3 linked regions of the Drosophila melanogaster genome follow. The protein of the gene in region 1 interacts with the protein of each later gene in a pairwise test. Each region holds a gene or a part of one and is shown in the gene's direction. Other genes may lie near its edges. The genes, in order: Rsph3, dcma and CG34453.

Region 1 (7,151 bases):
CGGTTCAGTTCAGCTTACCGCATGGCAAATTCGACGAATTTCCTGCGGTTTTCAAGCATTTCACTTGCCCTGCAAACGTAGGGACAAGCCTCCTCCTCCTCCTCCTCCTCGACCGCAAACAGCATTGGTCGAATTCAATTTATTGTAAATGTGCAAAAGGATTTGTTGCGGATCGGGTTGCCCGAGAATGCGAACCCAAAATGCAGCTGTACTCGAGGCGAAAAATGGGGGAACAGTTGTCCTTCTCGTTAACATGGCACATCCGCATGTCAAAAATGTCGCACAAAAATCAATCGGACGGCCATTCTGGGGTCCACTGGGGGTCCAAAAGGGAGGGTCAAGCGTACCAGGAACCCTGGTTGGAAAAAAAAAATCCAACAAAATTTTAAACAGAAATAAAAACAAAAAGCAGGCAAAAGGCAAACCCAAGCCAACTGAAAAGCAAATTAGCAATTCCGATGCGACCATTTATATTGTTCATTCTCATTGTTGTTGACGATCGTCTGATCGCGTTTATATTTTTATTTCATTTTCTATTTCCCCCTTAAGTGTGTATCAGTGTGTAAGGAAAAAAAAAAAAGAAGCTTGCTCGGTTTTTTTTTTAGAATTATTCCGCCGTGTAGTTGGAAGCGATCGTTTGGAAGCAAACGGATTTAGCTGTTATCAAGTCGCCAGCGAAAATGCAAATCAGACGCACAAAAGTCAACCGAATGGCGAAATGTAAGGGGCGGCAATGTCTAATGTCTGACTAAAACTAACTAAAACCAACAAAAACGACATTTTCACTTACCTCGCACATTTGTCAGGCGAAGAACGACGAGGAAGTTAAAGAGCCATTTATGCTCCAAATGTCAGCAATCAATAATACTCGGAAATATTTCAGTCATGCAAGCTTGTACCCCCGAAAAAGCTACAAAAATGTTTGCGTGTTTTGCATTGCTTATATATGGGGCTTGTCATTAGGAGAAAAATGGTTATATTTATTTTAATTTGCCTGAGTTTGTTTATCGGTTAAGGTCTGGAGAGGGCCAGCATGTAGATTATCAACAGAAATATTATCTGACAATTTAAGACAGTTCTATACCCATGAATTACTTTCTATAACTTCTTCAAATATGGCATGCAATTAATCAACAATCAGTTTTCAGTTTTGTTTTAACATTACTACAAGTACTCTGTATTTGATTTATTTATAAATTTCATTACCATAATCCAGTTTAATTTCCGTATGCACGATAAATCATATTAATATGAAATAAAAATTTTAATAAAGCAGTAATCAAATTAATTTTTTAAAATTTGCATTATTTGATATATTTAAATCATTACAATTTAAAATTTTTATACTTCTACTTTAGTTTTCTTTAATTTCTTTGAAATGACTAATGTGGTGAATCTAGGCCACTCAATATTTTCCAGATTACGCTTACATTTATTTTCACAGATTTACCCATAACTACATATTTTATGATCCTGTTGGCGCCACAGTCGCACATAAATAACTCATAAAAAAGTGCCCACAACAGCAGCCCGCAGATAATTCAACAATTGTGTCTGCCGAATGTTTTTTACGATCCGCAACCGTTAGGAACCCGAAGATCACTTTCCCTTCGACAAGCGGTAATAAATTAATCAAATCCCGTGCTGGACGTAATTTTTCCAGGGAAAATTGCAGCTCACACCTACACAGTGAAATGGATAGTATCTTGAGGAATATCGAGGAGTATCCGCAGTAAATGATTTGTTTGACAAGAAGCCAACAAACTCAGTGGGATGCCTTTGCCCGGTGACTTCGCAGAATCCGTATCGTATCTGAGCAAATGATCGGGAAATTGCGGGACAAGATCTCAGTCGCCAGTTGTCGCCTGTGTGGCCATCATTAACCTTTGAACTCACTAAATGGCCAAAGGACCACAGCGAATGTCAAACGTCATGGCCACTTATCGAGTGCGGACTGTTGTTCCTGTGATCTTATTAGGCATTTTCGGGAATTTCAAGGGGTTCGCTTCGGACGCAATTATCACCCCCGCATAAAGCGAAACGTCATCGTTGACAGCCACGTCATTGTTGTCCAGTCCGAAGACCAAAGTCCTTCGAACTATTTGTTAATGAATAGACAGAACCATACAAAAGATTCTGTGTAACTCGAAACAGAAAAAGGGGGTCAATTCAAATGACAAACGTTCGATAGTCCGAGATATGATAAGCCTTGAAAACCTAATTAAATGACACGTTCCAGGGAAATTCGATTCAGGCGTGGCTACATCGAAACGTTTTAACTGATGGCAAGCGATTTAACTTAGTGATAAATAGTTTAGAAAATTCAAAGTCATTTTAATATCAAGGAATTAGTGAGATTTTTTGATGTCCCCAAGGCAATTGTGCAACCAAATAGACCAAAAATGTAATTTATCTGCAAACTTACCACTAATCGATGATAACAATTTTGAAATAAAATTTTTTTATAAACTTTTTTCTTTGTTACTGTAAACTATTTAATATTAGCCAATAAATAGTAGCATTGAAAACTGCTTGCAATTTAGGTTCGGGTTTACTGCTTGCTGACAAGTAAAACAAAGTATACATATGTATAATATACATTTTACTGTAAAAAAATATTCACATTGTAAGTGTATAATGTCATGTAGAAAAATATAGTTATTTTGCTTAGGACTTGTAAAATGTTTTAACCATTTTAGACCTTAATGAATAATTTTAAAAATTGTAAAATTTATACAAAAAACATAAATAATTATTTTTCTGCCATCCTGCTTAAATTTAACGATGCGCTTAAAGTGTCAATTAAAAATCTATCTATGAATCAAAATCCCGAACAGCAGCTGTATCTGCAGAATGCATGCAATGTAGTTGGAATAATAAATCAGTAATAATAAAATGATAATGATAAATAATAAATAAATTATATTGGTATTTGGTCAAGTCCAGCTAAAAGCTAATAAAGCTCCTTAGAAAAAGTTGCTTTGCATTAGTTTCTCCTTGCTAGGAAGATATAAAAATAGATTCCTCATACTGAATGATAGTTAGTTGTGTATAATATATGGGAATGTGTAGTGACCATTCGCTAAGCGAAAGTTAGAAGGAAAAATTGCAAATGTCTCGATAGACTTTCAGTCAAAAAACGAACAAAATCTATCGAGTGTTAATACGAATAAAGTGCATTGCCAAAGACCCATCCCCACACAGCAACAGTTTAACAATGCCGACTTTCAATTCCCATGGCAACTGAGGAAATTCCGCCGTCGTTGTTTATTTTGGATACAAATTTTTTGATAATACAATATTTTTTTAAATATGGAGATAAAAACATAGGACAAAGAACTCCAGTGAAAATGTGTCACATAAATAAATCTATTTTGTACACATAAATTTGGCAAGCGGTAGACCTTTATCCGATATATATATTTTAAGTTTTTAAAAACCTCAATAACGCAACATAGCAATAGTTAGCAATGCCGACGATCCCGAAGAGGGATTACAAACCCAATGGTGGTGGCAAAAGCTCAGGAATGGATTTCCTCAGTTCCGGCATCAAGGGAACCGAGGTCACCGAGATGCAGCTCAAGTGGCACGAGAATCCTTGTCCAGCGCCACCATGCAAACAGGCATTTTGGTGGGCCAGCCATCCCAAGCCGATCAAAATCAAAGGTTGCCCCAAGTAAGTATCAAACAGAAGCCACCCAAAGAATTTCCCATGCTTCCCTGTAATTCCCTGTAATTTAAGTCCGACAAGTAGGGTATATTGAATATTTCGTAAAATTATATTATAATATTAATCAACTTTCTTACTTTCTTTGTAATTTATATAATATATAATAATTCAATAAGTAGTTAAGAAATCATTTATACGCTACAAATATGAACCATTAGAAATTGTAAGCTCGAGTTAATTATCATGGGTATTACTCCTCTTGTAATGAGTATCCTATAGTTGCAAAACCATTGCTTTTTGTAACGCCTTGCAGGGGAATTTTCTACACCTTTATATGTCTCCCCACTGGGGTCAATGGAACCCAAGACCAAAAACGAAAGTCATAAATTGCGTAAATAAATTATTAAACGCTGGCCGTGTTCGGCTGATGGTCAATACAATGGCCCCACTAAAGGACACGCAAACTTGGTACGATTTTGAATAGAAACATTCGTGTTCTGAAGGGAAACAATAGAAGGAGTGCACAGGACAGGAAATTATGAGGAGTGTGGAAGTCGATGAGTGCTTAAAACTATTGTAGAAATTGACGCACTAGTATCATAAAAATATACAAATATATCTGACTACCGATAATGACGGGGGCTGGACTTGGGTCGGATTAAGGTCAACCAGGGAATAAGGATGATCCCCAAATATGATAAAAACCCAATAAACTATAGTGTATCTAAATCCAGTTGTAGTAAAGTGCTCATTCTTCTCTCAAGCTAAAAATCGAATAAATACTACAGTGTGGTATATCTTATATCTTATCATTTATTCGAATATATTAGTACATCAATTCTGAACTGTATATGTTCAAATTAGGATAAGAATACCGTGCTTTAGGTCAGCCAACGAATTTAATCATATAGAAGTATGATTGAGTGAAAGAAAATTACCTTTTTTAACAACAGGCTTTACCAAAAGCTTTTGGACTTCTGATACATTCTTACCAATTCCTGTTACAATAATCTTTCATCTATTCACTGACCTTTCTTCATTGCCAGTAAAAAAGAGTGACTCCTTGGAGTGCCAAGAAATCTACTTAATTATGCTTAGTTCCCTGTTGAATTCCGCTTATCAGGCAGTCCAAGCAATTGACCTTGGCCATTGACAATACCTAGGAGGTGTTCCAAGTAATAGAGAGCCACCCACCTCCTTTTTCAATGTCAGGCAGGGAAATGCGTGAAGTCATCTCCGACAATGTGAAAGGAAATGTGGACACCATCGAAACAAATTCAAGGTCCCTCCGCCGGGCGAAACCTTTAATTGGAGACCCCAACGAAACTACTTGGATGGAAAAGAAAAAGCTCTTATGCAAAGTAGAATTCCTGGGAACGTGGATTTGGCCATGCCAATGCCACCGACTGTTAACAGTTCGCATTATTATTGCAACACCTGCCCATCATGTGCCTCAAACTGCGAAGCAAGCGATACACTCAGAAAAAAATTTGAAAAATATGTGTATATAGTATAGAAACTTACATTGTGGCACGCACGCGAAGTATTGTTATTTAAACTTATGAAACAGCAACATGAATAGTTTAAATATGCAATTTTCTATATAAACCAATTGCAGCACTTTAAGGATATTTTTACTAAAAATGTCCTTTGAAGTAACAGCTCAATTCCTGGAAAGCTTTAGTCGTGGGCAGTAGGAGACTATATGTTCCACATATTTTTCCAACTGCACGACGACTGCTGACCACGGGCCGAATCCAAAGTCGAAACCGGGTCCGAGCGCGAGTTCCACGAGTCCTGCGAGTCCTTTGGTCATTTGGCGTTTGCCATTCGAGCCGTGCGGTACGTGTTCCGCGACAAAATCAAACAATCAACCAACGAACGCAACACCTGAGCGGCGCACAAAAGGGAAAAATATAGGAAAAGTATTGATTAAGTTTTTCGGTGCGGCGGGTGAGAGAACCGTGTGGTGGCTATTTATAATGAACGAGGTGACCGGCGGCCGGGAGCAGGGATAACCGAGACGGTAGCGGAGACCATGCCAGAGACGGAGCAGCAGCAGCACCCAGCACACTCACATCCTGAACTTAAGCCAGATCCACAGCCAGTGCCAGAACTGGAGCACCTCACCGACAATAGACCGAATCGCGTGCAGAACTTCTCCTTCGCCAGCAGCTATCCCTACGCACCAGGACGCGTCTCGTCCAGCTCCAATTCGAACACCAACTACAGCTCCACCAACTACAACGCCGGCGGCTTCAACGTCCAGCGCTATCAGAGTCCCTACAATTTCCAGCACGTGGTGACCAACGCATTCTCGGTGCTGCGCCATCAGCCCTCCGAGGAGCCCGAATTCGATTCCTATCCAACGCGACCCCAACAGGCCATCGTGCGTCCGATTAGACGTGAGGCGGGCATAGCTGATAACCGTGATAATCATGTAGGGAATCCTCCACAGCGATCGCACTTCTCGCGCAGCAACCAGGAGGTGCGCAGCTTCGCCGATGAGCTGAGCCAGAAGCTGCGCTTCCTGGCGCCGGAGGAGCAGAACTACGGCGGTCGCCAGAGCGCCAATTCCGGTGCCTGGATGGATCCAGCGATGTCGCAGCGACCACGATTCGAGACCACAGTGCCGCAGGGCATCTTCCTGCCGCCTCCGCATGAGGTCCAAATGATACCGGCCACCATGCTGAGGAGGCATGTCTACGCCTACTCCTCATATCCCATGATCCTCCAAGGGTATCTCACCAAGGAGACCGGCAGTGAGAGCAAGGAGCAGAAGGTGACCGCCACCCGGCTGAACGGTTTGCGTGCCACGGCGGCAGTGGCGGCGGCCACAGCTGCGGCCTCCAAATCCTCCCGTAACGATACGCAATCCCTCGCCGGTGGACTCCACATCACCAAGGCTCAGTTCCAACAACAACTGCAACAGCGTCGCTCCACCAGCAACAACAACAACAACAGCAGCAGCAACATCAGCGACAAGAGGTAATAAAAAGACCAACCCCCAAAATGGTATGGGTGCTAAACTTGGAAGTAAAAAAAAAAAAGGTGGGAAGTGGAAAAGGTCCGACAACTGACCAAGGCAAAGTGGGCCAAAATATATTACCATAAATTCAAATGAGTAATACGTACGTACCTACACTGCCATTCTGCAATGGAACCAGAACTTAGCTCCCCACTTCAGTTCCTACGGCCATTATCGATTGACACCCAAACAATTCAATTACAAATAGGTTTTGTGGTTTAAAGTGCCGAATTGAATCCTTCAAGGATTTGTTATCTAAACTGATATAGATTCAAGATGATACCTTATTGATCTGTTTTTAGACTTTACTATGACACGCAAATAGAATGGAAGGCTCTTCATCAGCCAAGTTTCTTGTGTGGCTCACCCACTTTCACAATTAACTCTTTAACAATTCAATTAGAAATGCTTTTCCAATAACATTCGGACATTGTAAATTCCCTGAACGGTTTG
Region 2 (7,151 bases), on another chromosome or scaffold:
TGGCATTCAATAAATTCGAAAGCATTTGACACATCAGCAGGTTGGTAATTAATTGATAGACAGAAATAATCGAGTGAATTATGTTCGTATAATTCGATTTCAACACGTGTCGCCATCAATTTCTATCGAAACAGCTACCATGTGCGATGCCCCACAATTAACTAAGCGCTTTTCCATTACTTGGCAATCATGGATCATTCATGGGATGGATTAATTCCGCCAACCGAGCCACTTCATCATCAACACAAATTTCTAGAGAAGTGAGTGTAAGACTGACTCGATAATGAAGTGTACGGAAATAGACAAAGATTTAGGGGTTTCTTCCGCTCCCCATCGGGATATTGACTTGCTGATTATTTTTATTTGGCCAGGCAGAGCGCTTCAATTGAGACATAAAACTATGCCAACACACGAGCATAAACATTTATACACACGATTAGGAGTGCTGTTTGTTTTTATGTTTGGTTTAGCGCTTCCGTTTGTGGCCACCAAGAAATGCCAGCACACACTGCGTATACGCATTAAATGGCCCAGAATGAGATACAAACAAACGGACAGTGGGAGAGAAAAAACAAAAGCAAAAATTGGGGAAACGAAGGGAGCCGAAGCCCAAACATTTGGCGCGATTAAAGTGTGCACTTCTAGTTGTATAAAACATGGCCCATAAATCAATGAAAAACTAATCTGAAAATCAAAAGGAAAACACTGGGGGATTTGTTTTGTGCGAAATGAATTTGGCTGGCCAATAAAACGCACGTGAGAACCCATACTGCACCGAAAAGTATTTTTATCCTTTTGTTGAACTTGTTAAAATTCACTAAAAATGCAAATCAATTAAATTAAAGCAACAACTTTATTTTTTCAACTCCGTACCATTTGGGAAATACAATTTATGCAAATGCAACAGCAGTAGCTGTAGTAGACACAAAAAAAAATAAAATTCATGACAAGCCGCAAGCTTAAATGCTCATTAGTGTTCCGAAGCGAGAAAAAAACCAAATAAAATAAAATGAAACAAAGTAGAAGCCCCGAAACTAAAATCAAGAGGGAGCGCAGTGGAGCGTATTTTTGTCGCCTGCATCGCATTTACATTTTCAAATCCAACTGTACTGTATACTTGTGAGTTAGTACATAAGGACAAACGTCTCCGCCATATAAATGCAAAGCTCTTCGAGAACCGGATGGTCTTAAGTTACCGAATTGCAGGCAATTAATTGGGACTTACGGCCGAAATCCAAGGCTAACTTTGACTTTGGCTGAAACAGAAAGATTTCGTTGGCTGCATTGTTATGCGCTCTTGCGTGAATTGATCCCCTTTTAATGATGCACTCCAGTGGCGAAAATAATTTGCTTGTGACAGCCTTTGAGCCTTCTGCTAATGCTTTGTTTTAAATCATTGTTATTTCAGGCGAGTAAGCCCTGCTACTAGCTTCTGTGCTTTTCTCCTTTAAATGCTAATGCCATTGATTTCGGCACACAAATGCAATTCAGTTGCTATGCACGAAACATGTTAAGCATACGCAGCGTTGCCCCGGCAAAAGTTTGTGCATGCAAATTTGACGATAAACTTGAACTAATTAAAAAGTTGCGCTAAAAAGTTGCATTAAGCCAGAGACCGCAAAGGTTGTGCACTATTTTTCCGCCAGAATGTTTTCTCATCTCGTTGGCTGCGTGGCGGGTGTGTTGACAAATTGACATATTGTGGCTACAGAAAGTTGCAGTTGTAAGTCGTTGCCATTTCTCTTGCAACATGTGGCACAGCGGGAGGTGTAATACTTGCGGCTAATTTCGAGTTTGTTGCTCTAAGCCCGAAGCATTTCGTATCTGGCTTCCTGGCCCTATGCTCAGCTCACACAAAACTGATGGCCACAGGATAAAACGGGGGCCCAAACAAAACCGCACACAAGCTACCAGCGGTTTACTTGCCCCTCAGCAATTGCTGTTCGAAAAAAAGTGGCACTGGATAAAAAGCATGTTGAACATTCTGTTCTGGCCAAAAACTGCGGGAGCTGCAGTTCAAGAAATACAGCCACTACTTGACTGGAGTTCAGTTAAAGCACACTTCGTGTTTACTATCAATAACTTATTTTATTTACTTTTAAAGTGCTTCTGCACACGTACGTTGGCTTAATCTTTATTTGTGGCTTATTTGCCTGGCTAGCGTGAGCTTTACATTGGCTTAGTTTAAACCTGCTTACCTTGTTATGTGATAAATCTTTTTTGCCAAAACTTTATCTTTACCGGTTTAAATGATAAAGAAGAAATGTTATGTAAAATGGAAAAAAAATATACAATATTTATTAATTAAGAGAATGAAATATTTCATAATTTTTATAAACTTTAATATATAAAACCGATATAAATTTTCAGTGATAGCAGCCACATATCGGGTATCACAGACTCGGGACTCGTTGGAGCATTTATTTTTTATAATTCACTTGAGCCTTGTTAAGACCGCTGGTAGAGCATGGCTAGCATGTGTGTGTTTATGGGCCACCACCTCATCATCAACTCGTGTCCGTTTCCGTGCCCCACACTTCTCGCACCACTTGCAACCACTTGAATTTGCTGCGGTTGTTGCTGCTGTTCGTATTTGCCATGCCATTTGCTGGAGAAATTTTTCTTGATTGCCTCGCCCCCAGCAGTTTGCTTGTTTTTCGCTTATGCGTCGTCATCTTTCCACATCCTTTTACCATTTTCCACGGGTTTTCCCTTTTCCGTATTTATTTTTTACTCTGCTTTTTGTTCTCCTGGCAGACAGTGATTTTGACATTTCACGCGCATTTGTTTGTTATGCTTCTCTGGCCAGCAGCATTGACAGCGCGGGAAAGGTCAACATTTCCCTTTATTTTTTTTTTTTTTGCATAAGTGCGTAAGGCCATGTATTCATAGAAATCGTAGTGGGCCATAATAAAAATAAGGACTGTGGTAGTGGCACGCAGGCTCATTAACATTTGCGAGGCACGTGGCGGGAATGACGCTAACTCAGTTGCTCCCCAGCGTCGCATTCGGCTTAGCCAAATTGATTTTCCGTCCTGCCAACAAAACAATCTGGCACAGCGAGAGAAAAACATAACAATATCAGCATCAGTCACATAACCATTGCCAGTTTTGCATAGCCTTTTCTGTTCATAAGCCAAGGGTTTTATGATCACCAGTTATCCGAATTTCGGCCAATTCGATTGCTCATTTTTATGTGGAAAATATTTATGAATCGATACGTTTATAAAATATAAAGCACATTTATAAATGCAATATCTTTATCTGAGGAACGGAGTCTTTTCTTTTCCGTTTCTAACTCATAAAAACTTAGGGCTTACTTTTTGCAAGGAATACATATTTATTTATGCACAGAATTTTTCTCTGTATTCCCAAAAGGGGAAATAAACATCAGACCAACACAGAATTCCACTCAAAACAATTATGAATGAATGGCCAGAAGAGCGCTCAAACCAGTTAACAGAGCAGCTGTTGCTGTCGAGTCTATGTTAACGCTTTCACTTGGCCAACAGCCGCAGCTTCTGGCAAGTATTCTGGCTTTTAGTCCCACAACAGACGTCGAGGCGAGAACACGCGGCCCAAAAGACGTGCGCATGTCAAGTTGCGAGCTGCGTTTGGTTTTCGATTCGAGCCACATGGCGTATACGCGATACGGTCTGTGCCACTGCCTGCATTGAGTACTGAGTCAATAATGGTCGGTGGTCAGTGCTGCGGCTTTAGTGCGTGCTGAGCTGAGTAGCAGATAATGTGTCAATAATTGAACTGGACAATCGGCATTGCTCGATCCAGTATGTGAATAGCCGACACTCAACTGGAAAGGAACTTCGATGTAAGCATAAATAGCACCCAGAAACTTTAAGTGTTGGTGTAGTAAAAGTGTGAACTTAAAGCATGTACCACTTTAACATGTCTGAAACATGCGTAGGAAACACAAGTTAACAATATTTTCTGCTTTCGACTAAGATAAAGAATTAGTCTTGTTGTTTAACACCAAAATCTGCTTTTATTTAAGAAAAAAAAACGACATCAGTCAAAGAGACAATAATTAAATTTCGAGACACAAAGGCCCCTTATTTCACTTAACCCAATCAATTAGATCAAATAAAATATCAATACAAAATAGATTAAAAGAGGGCGCAGCACCGAAGCAAGTCGAATAAATAAATGCAAATAAAATAAGTTCAAATCGGATCAGCAGAGTGACGTATTTAAATTTCACCAGGGGCAAATCGAGCCGCCACGTAGTTCGACATTCGAGCCGTCATAAGCCGGAATTCGGAGGGGATTGCATTAGGGAAGTTCTTACTTTCTGGTGCCGCTCGAATTTCCCCAGGGCACTTGGGATGCACGTGAGCTCTGTGCCGATGGATTTTCCATTCCGCATTCGCCCCGTTTTCCCGCTCCGATACACATTTTTTTGCGACGTTTGTCAACACCATTTGGCCTCTATTTGATTTGCATATTGCTACCTGTCTGGTTTTCCGAGAAGCCTGTGAACGTGCGTGAAAAGTAAACAGGGGATAGGATGGGCGAAACAAAAGGGACGGCAAACGTGATAAAATAGGTGGAAAAATAGCGGATAAAAAATGAAAACATTTGCCGGAAAACAAAGAAAATTATCTGACCAGATGCCCGGGCTGTCCGTTCTCTCTTCCCCGGGGGAAGAGTAAAGTTGTAATAAAAAATAAAAATAAAACCCGGGGGTCGCCAGTGACAAGTGACAGGTTGCTTGTTTGCCGGGCCGAATAATGTGGTCAGGTCCGTCTGATATGGCCGCCTAATTTGGGAGACGCTTTTATTGTTTGCCCACGGACATGGCGTCATTATCTGCTGGCATTTTTGTGCGCTCCCCATTTGTTTACACGCACTTTTAACGTGTTTATTCGGCCACAACGCAAACTAATTGAAACACACCGGGCGTATACTTATTGTAATGCCCGTGGGCGTGTCACGTTCCACGTGCAATCAGTGGCCGCCTTGAAATCCACTCGTCTGCAATTGCAGTGCACGCTGCACCCTATCACGCCCCCCATTTGCTCTTTGAGGCTTTCACTCGCAGGACCCACTGTCATTTGGCCCTCAATGCCAGCAGCTGAAAGCTGAAACAACAGCTCACTGCTTCCACTATCCGTAGTTCTCGCCCTCGTCCTCATCCTCGTCCTCATCCTCGTCCTCATCCTCGTCCTCGTCATCATCATCATCGCCATCCGCCGTAGTCGCGGGTACGACATATTCGCTCAGCGGTTCACGCCGAGGTTGAGGTTGAGCCGAGCCAAGTGAGTAAGTGAGTGAGTGAGTGCCAGGAGCGGCAACTTGTTTACCTGCCTGTGTTTTAATGAAATGCAAATGCAAACACAGCCGTGAAGCACCATGGGCTCCATAGGCTCAAAGTGGGCCAAAAATAGGTGAAGGATTAACAGCTAGCGGAATCCATTACCGACTCTGTATTTTTGATATTTTATTAACACCTACACAAAATTACATTGAAAACAATTTCTTTTAGAGACCACAATTCAAAAATAAGTATAAACGCAACGAGATAAGCTTGAATATTTAAAAGCAAAGGCAATTCATTATTAAATAGTTTTGAGTTTTATTTGCATACAACCTTGCGGATTTTCATTTAAGTTAAAAACACAGAGCACACACATCAATTTAAGTGGCGGATGTTGTGATTGGTTAGCTGTATAAATTTGAAACAGCAGTGTTTGTTTTCATAAGCCCGCTCGATGGCTTCGCAAGATTGATTGCATCCAGAGAATAGATCGAAATAGACCTCCGAATGTGAACGTAAACACGCCACAGTGCCCACCTGTATCCGCCAGGTAATTTTTCCTGGCCCTCTGCAATGGCACTTAGCGGTAATGGGGTTACTGCCAAGGAGCCGCACTCGCTTGAGAATGTCCCTGATTTTGTACGCAAACACTTCAATTTCCGTGACAGATGACAATTTGCCACAATTGCACATTGCAGTGCAATTAGATTTAGTAAATTTTTAACTCCCATTTGGCCGGCATTAGATTCGTATGTAACACAATTTCATTCATGCCAGTTGGTATTGGCCATCTTGTCCTGCATTCGCATAAATAAATTGGCAAAAGATTCCTTTACGGCCAAGTGGGATGATCTTTAGCCAGCAGCTGGGTCTTAAGTTCACATTGGCACCGGGGTCGTAAAAGCGGATCTAAGCGCCATTTCAAAATTGCCTGGGATTGACCGCCATCGCGCTGGATTTTGACTTAAAGTGCCATTCGGATATGCATTAAATTTATGGCAATACATTAAACTAAATACTCCTCATCGAAGCTATCAAAGGTGCCGCAGCGGAAATTGAACGTGACAAACTTATGAAAAGCGCTAAAACATGTTGGCCTAAGCGGCTTTTTATGACAGATACTCAATTTCCTAATGGCACCGGTGGACGCAACCGAGGTTGGTAAAAAAAGCAACCAGATTTGTATCTAAATATTGGCATGCCATGCTCGACAAGTTTAAAGTTTTAATTAAACAAGTACGACGAGGCTAATTACTGCATTATGATAAACAAAACAGAAAGAGCACTTTAGACTTTCAGCTAACTTTGTAATAATGTCCAGGATATTAAGCTAGAGATAAATATTATTGTGCACTTAAAGTTAAATACACATTAAAGTTACTTGCGCATTGAGTTTTAAGCCCAAGTCAAGTCAAACCGTCAAGGATAACGTCAAATACTTGTGTCCTTAAGCCGAACTGGGAGAGTTCGAAACTTTTCCAATTCACTTAGTTCATTAACTTGATTCATCGGCAAGTGAGTTGCCCGAACTCCACAAATGGTAATCAACTGGCATTGATTGCTCATTTTTAGCAGGTTCTGGTCCTGTGCCAAAAACCCGGATCTCGCTTAAAGCTTTGGATTGCAATCCAGCTAACCCATTGACCTTGGCCGGAAACCAGAGAGGATTATTTTTTTTTTTTCGGTCTGGCCCGGCGTCAACTCTTTGGTAACATATCACTCAACTCAAGTTTTTGCCCTGGCCCCAAAGTTGCCATGAATAACTTGCGAATTTCTTTGAAAATGACTCGCTCAAAGGCGGAAGTTTCCGCTCTCCTCGCGTTTGACATGCAGGGGCGGTCGTCACTTGAATTTAATTAAAAAAGAATTTGTGTTC
Region 3 (6,791 bases), 6.5 Mb from region 1:
TGGAAACGATTAGGTTGGTGGCGGCGTATCAATAGCTTATACTCGTATGATGAATTCGAATTATTTTGTGCAAGAAATTGAAGAAGAAGAAGATTATGATGATGAGATTATTGTCGTCTGCAGTCCGCCGAATCAAATTGTACCTTCACCTCCCCGTGAAGTATTCGAAGGTAGAATTTTAAGAAGTGAATTGCCGTGCCGCACCAACAATAATTGTAAGCCAATTTTGCAAGCAAAAAAAATTAAAAATTTATAATCTAGTTCTAGTTGAAGATCAAGACAATATTGAGCAGCATCGCCTAAAATATGAAAGTGAAGACCTTAAACGATGTTCATTGCAGACCAACAACATCGAAATCGACGCCGATACGCTAGCAACAACTTACGAAGCCAATTCAACTATTAAAGATATTGCTATTAATAATGGCGATGATCAGGAAAACAGTAAATGTGCAGAAACAGAAAATTCTAATATTACAACTAATGAGTCCTTTGCCGGTACATCTTCCCTATTAGAGGGTTCAGAACATGATGAACCAACTAACCTTGCCGGCCTCGATATATCAGAAACAGACTTAGAAAATAAACAAAACGAAAGCTTCGTTGTTACCAGAGGATACATACAGAAGTGTAAGTGTTAAAAAATGAATAAAAATACAAATGTGTTTGAAATAATAAGTGCCATGATTTTCAGCTATTTCAAATGCTCTGAAACAAGGTAATTTAAGTCCGGAACTTGAAGAAAAACTTGTTTGTATGCAGAAGCAACAAGAAAATGCGAATTCGACGAATGAGTGGGAAACATGCTCAAGGGGCAGTGTGAATGAGGAAGCACTAACTCCCAGTCGCCAAACTGATGACACTGAATGGAAAATTCGTACTTCCTTAAGACGCCCAAATGCTATGACAACAAGCAGCCAATTTAATCGAATTTTAAAAAAAAATCGGAGCAAGAATGACGAAGTCGCTGAACTTGGAGAGCAAAAGCAATCGCAATTGGAACGTCATAAAGAATTGCTTAAAAAAAATATTTTGCGCAAGCGTTCCTTATTAGAGCGTAATTTACAAAGCGAAATACACGAAGATGTAAAAACTAAAGTCCAAAGACATGTACGCCCCTTAAGTAACGCTTCACCGGATGAACAAAGCGAAAATGAGAGAAGTGGCGAACCAAATTTAGATTTTAAACGGTACGTATACTCATGCACTTGTGTGCAATATGATATATCTAATAATACCTAAATCAAATCGTAGGACAGAGGTGCAGAACCCCAGACATGGCGCAGGCCGACCAAAAAAGTTGACAAGAAAAAAGGAAAAGTTGTATTGCATTTGCCGTACTCCATATGATGACACAAAGTAATGCAGAAATGCATATTCTTAACGCGCTTTTAATTAATATATTGTAATTGTGTCTATGTAGGTTTTACGTGGGGTGCGACTTGTGCAGCAATTGGTTCCATGGGGATTGTGTCAGTATTACCGAGGAAGCTTCTAAAAAACTATCGGAGTTCATTTGCATTGATTGCAAGAGGGCGAGAGAAACGCAACAGCTTTACTGTAGCTGTCGTCAACCATACGACGAGTCACAATTTTATATATGCTGTGATAAATGCCAGGATTGGTTTCATGGCCGTTGCGTTGGAATACTTCAGAGCGAAGCAGAGTTTATTGATGAATATGTTTGCCCTGAATGCCAACGCAAAAACGATGCTAACGCTGCAAATATGAAGAAACTGACTTCAAATGACGTTGAAGAGCTGAAAAACTTAATTAAGCAGATGCAGGTAATAACCTGAAATTCATAATAATTTTTATTTATTATTAGGGACCTTAATTAAATAAAATTTAATTTTGTGGGAATCGTTATTCTGTGTTAGATAAACGAACAAATCGTTTATATATTGATGGCATCAAACATGTTAAAATACGGTAATGTTTGTAAAATTGTTGAAAAAATATTACAAAGTAACGAACAGAACGAAAGTATTATAAGTTCAAGACCAAGTGAATCAAATATCCAATTCGTTCATTCGTTTCACATTCATTTCTGGCTAACGAAAAACTCTCAACTGTAGCACATCAAAAATGGAATAAATATTAAATTTCCCTACAGTTACACAAAAGTGCTTGGCCATTTATGGAACCGGTTGATCCGAAGGAAGCACCCGATTATTACAAAGTGATTAAAGAGCCAATGGGTATGTAACACAAAAAATAAATTTATTCGAAAATAAATAAAATGGGGATATTTTTTTCTATAGATCTCAAACGGATGGAAATTAAACTCGAATCAAACACCTATACCAAACTATCTGAGTTTATAGGCGATATGACAAAAATTTTTGACAACTGCCGTTACTATAACCCAAAAGAATCATCCTTTTATAAGTGTGCTGAAGCACTAGAGTCATACTTTGTGCAAAAAATTAAAAATTTTCGCGAAAATGTTTTTGACCAAAGAACATAAGAAATAATAGCCCTTGAAAACTTTAGAACAAATGATTATAGTTTATAAAGACACTTCTAACAATTTGAAAAACGTCCTTCAGTTATGTATTCTTATTTTGAATCAAATGTTATATAAACATATATTATCAATAAAAACACATATAATTAATTATAATAAATTATGTACATATTGACCATATTTAGTAACGTACACCAGTATGCAATAAATTTCATATTCACCAGACATTTGTAAGATTAAAAATAATTAAGTAAAACCCCCTTTGTACAAAACATTAAAGTGTAAATAAACAGCATGCATTTCATTTGATATCCTTATCATATGCTGTAGGTTTAAACTTAGGCGTATGTAACTTGTAAAAATACAAGCTTATAATAAATGTTCAGCATATTTTGAAAATAACTTGCATTTATTTAGTCTTTGGTTTGTTTACTGCTCATTGGACTTTTAAATTCACACCTACTCAGCAAAAACAAAAATATACCTTAAATAGCTTATTAATATTATTAGACGGATTCTTTGCACTAAAATAACAACAAAATCCTCATTTGTTGATCTGCATTGAAATTTTTGTAGGCCCTTGCATAGGGTATATTTTGTAACAGTCCGAAATTTGCTTCGCAATGAAGGTACCCTTTATGATCACAAACTATATTCCTATATTCTTGATCAATATCAGCAGACGATGCGACATAACAAAGCCCGTCCGTCAGTTTCTACGCAATCCAGTCTCTCAGTTTTAAAGCAGTTATACATGGAACTTTCCCAAAAGTCTTCTTTCGGTTGCAAATGTCACTATATAACGTAGTCGTTACTAGACTGTCCAGAAGTTGTTTATTCTACGAGTAATGGGTATAAAAATACTAATTAACTGGTTGCCATGGCGAGCGTGCGCAGAAAACGGGTTTATTAAACAAAATTATTGACTAGTTAAACATAATAAAACGATGGAACCTGCTAAAGTGATTGGAAAGCTGTAAGAGTTCAGCACATCTTATTAAAATATGAATAGCAGATATTATTAACAATTTTAGAAAGGAGCAAGTGCGCATGGAGCACAATTCGCGTCGTAGTTTTCCAAAAGCTTGGAGCGAAATTTCGGGCAAGCAAACTAACAAGTTCTACCACCAATCTGAGATTAATTCTCAACTAAGTAACCAGCTAAAATTAAAAGGTATATTTACATAGAGGTTTATAATTGTGCACTCACATACTCTACCCTATAGACCTGTGCCCTTTTGTGCACAACAACCAAGGCGAATCGCGATTCGTATCTCCGGAGATGTACAAACCTTTACTGGCCGTCTGTCGCTGTGGGCGAACTAAGGAAAGCATCCATATGGGAAAATGCTTACAAAGAGCCTTGAGTCCAGATTACAAGCAAGAAATGGTACAGAATGGCACTGATGCATGGAGTGCAGAACCATTTAATGTGCCTTCCACTTCAAGCTGTAAGTAGTGCACCTACATTTAATTGTATGGGTACAACAATATAAAGAGATTTTCAGCTACCATTGGCTTCGCAGCTATTTCGAAAAACTACCAAAAGCTGGAGCGTTCTATGCAATATGTTTCTCCTGCGTTTTCCATGCCTGGCCCTCGAATTACAGCAGTCCCTTACTATAATATTATTATTGGATAAGTCATCACGAATTTTAAAGTTTCTTGTTGGTCATTTCCAACCCATATTTTTGATGAATCAAATCTGGGATTTCCCTAGATTATTGCAAATATAAGCACATGATAATAAACTTAAAATTGATAGCGGGCATCGTACAGAACTGGATTTTCCAGACGATTGACTGCTTTAGAAACCTGTATTCAGTGGCGTTCCCATATCTTATTTACTACTTTGTATTTTGATTCACTGAATTAAAACTTTCCAGTATATGTGAAGTTCCTTATGCTTAGTGCAGCTGATTCTTGTGTTGGTTCAGTTTCCCTCGATCAGCGAACGAAAGCACATACGACTATAAGCTTCAGGATTCAGTTAAAGATGTGCATCAATTGGCATCCAATATTTATTTTTGCTTGTTTAAGTCAGTTGGGCGCAGCCCAAGAACCTTTAATTTTCGAAACATCTCGTAGCCCATGGAACAATGCCGCCGCAACGACGTCAATACCAATTTCGCCCACCAGCGCAAACTTAGTTTTGGTTAACAATGTAAGAATACCAGGAGGTCTTACACCATTTGTACCAGCACCGGCCCCAACCAAGGAATTTCTGAACTGCTTTGGTAACTGTCCCACCACATCGCAATACAATCCCATTTGCGGCAGCAATATGCAGCTTTATATGAACGAGGAAAAATTTAATTGTGCTCGTTTCTGTGGAGCTGGTGAGTCCATTATATCCATTATATTATTATTTTTTAATCGAAAATATACTTCACTATTCGTTTTTAGACATTCAAATAGTTCGAAGAGGTTCTTGTGAGGGTCTTTTTGCGATGACGCGAGGTTGATATGCAACAACCAGCTATTTAATGTAATAGATTAATATACTCCAACTAAGATATTTTCAGTTTAAATATTATTATGGCACAGAGATAAGACGCCACGCAGTACATAACAACGCAAAATAATATAAATAAAATAAATACATACTAATGCAAAACAATCAAGATAACCTTGACGCACTTGTAGAAAATTTCGAAATGGATTCCCAAGACAGTTCCGTTCTGAATTTCAGAGAGAATACTTGCAAACATGGAGGCGATTTATCAATTGGTCGTAATCTTAGGTACATTATATACATAAATATATTTTATTCTGTGTGAAAGCTCCTTCTAAAATATCCGTTTTCTACTCAGCTATTATTTTTGGGCATCTGCAGTTCCAGTCCACGGTGTTAGCTGACCCTGCTTTTCGTCGCCCAAATGCCATCGCGCCCGCCCGCACCTATAGCGGTGTATACAACCACTCGACGATTCACAGAGCTGTCGAAAAGTCCAATTTGACTGCCCCGGCGGTTCACCAACCTGTCCTCCAGGCACCCGGATTTATAATACCATATCAGAACCGTTCGTTGGTTCACGCCAATCAGGGATCTCATGGCGTTTTACCAGGTAGCGTTCCAGCGCAAGATTCAGGTCCTTCCAGCGTCTGGGTGGCCAGTAATAATCACCAACCAGGAGTAACTGGCGTTCTTCAACCAAACCCATCCCAAGGTAAAATCGTAAATCCACCATTTGTCATTGGCAAAAATAATGGATCGTTTTATTCAACCTATAATGCAACAGTCCCTGGCAGGACTTATCCTTATGGAAACCTTTCCATTTGAGCAATTATAAAATTTTACCAAAACCCAATAAACCAAATTAAGATTAGCATTCTTTTCAAAAATCAATTTATTGTGATCTTAAATCGTTTCATGTATTAGAATCATCGGCATAAGTATTGGGGTTGCTTTCCGGTATTCCAGAAGTGTAAATAAATGTATATTCAATGAAGATTTTCCATATAAGGGATAATCAGGGATGCGTATTTTTGGAGGCGTGATTACGCTGATCACGCCACCTAAGTATATCAGCTTTGAACTATCAATAAATGGAGTGACACGCATGTATATGGAATGCGATGGCTGACCAATTGCCGAAAAATTAAACCGAGGATCCCTCGCCGCCGTCAGAAATTCCCGCGCTGCAGTCCTAAACTCCCACGCTGCCGTCAAAAAAGGTCCCACGCCGCCGTCCAATCTTATAAGAATCCCGCGCCGCTGTCCAGAACCTCGATCCCTCGCTGCAGTCCCGATCTCCGTCTCCCACGCCGCAGTCATCTCCATTGATGTAAATTCCAGTAGTCTTAAGAATATGGTTCCTAGCGCCCTGGCCTAAACGCCCTAATAATCCCGCGTTGCAAAAACTTGATATCCCTCGCCGCAGTCTGAACTATCCGTACGTCCGCCGCCGTCGTCTTTGAGAGCCGAAAATCCCACGCCGCTGTCCAAATTTACTCCTAGGCCGCTGTCGATGGTTAAATTAGACTGAATCCCACGCCGCAGTCCAAGTTAGAGAATCATTCTTCAACAAATCTAATATCCTCACGAAGGGTCCTCACAAAGAAAAAGAATCGACCAGTGTGTAGCGAAGCGAAAGCTGTATGCAATCCAACTTTTATATTGGTTCGAAGGGGTACGGGTTGAAACAAGGATTGAAGTCGTCATCAGTGCCGAAACTCGTAAAGAATTAGGTGCTATCCCAAGCCAGTAGTGTGAAATCGATGGTGCTTAGTGAAGAAATGATACCTCCAGCCTACTTGTTGCTCCAAATGCAGATAATGAGGAATGATCCGAGGAGGATTTTAGGACTTCTCATAATAA

The links.
Region 2: the proteins of Rsph3 (region 1) and dcma interact in a two-hybrid assay, tested with the Drosophila melanogaster proteins (one large-scale study listed by BioGRID).
Region 3: the proteins of Rsph3 (region 1) and CG34453 interact in a two-hybrid assay, tested with the Drosophila melanogaster proteins (one large-scale study listed by BioGRID).

What each region holds. Positions count from the first base shown.
Region 1 is NT_037436.4:6,759,448-6,766,598, reverse strand, and holds the start of Rsph3 (radial spoke head protein 3), read left to right. Parts: upstream 1-5,484; 5' UTR 5,485-5,708; coding exon 5,709-6,658; intron 6,659-7,151.
Region 2 is NT_033779.5:4,691,163-4,698,313, forward strand, and holds the start of dcma (decima), read left to right. Parts: upstream 1-3,558; 5' UTR 3,559-3,829; intron 3,830-7,151.
Region 3 is NT_037436.4:229,978-236,768, reverse strand, and holds CG34453 (uncharacterized protein), read left to right. Parts: upstream 1-3,417; coding exon 3,418-3,446; intron 3,447-3,504; coding exon 3,505-3,644; intron 3,645-3,696; coding exon 3,697-3,921; intron 3,922-3,978; coding exon 3,979-4,112; 3' UTR 4,113-4,289; downstream 4,290-6,791. Other genes in the region: E(bx) (enhancer of bithorax), read left to right, coding at 14-215, 268-630, 695-1,190, 1,255-1,359, 1,424-1,787, 2,117-2,201, 2,265-2,470; CG34454 (uncharacterized protein), read left to right, coding at 4,467-4,809, 4,877-4,935; CG42846 (uncharacterized protein), read left to right, coding at 5,180-5,213, 5,284-5,753.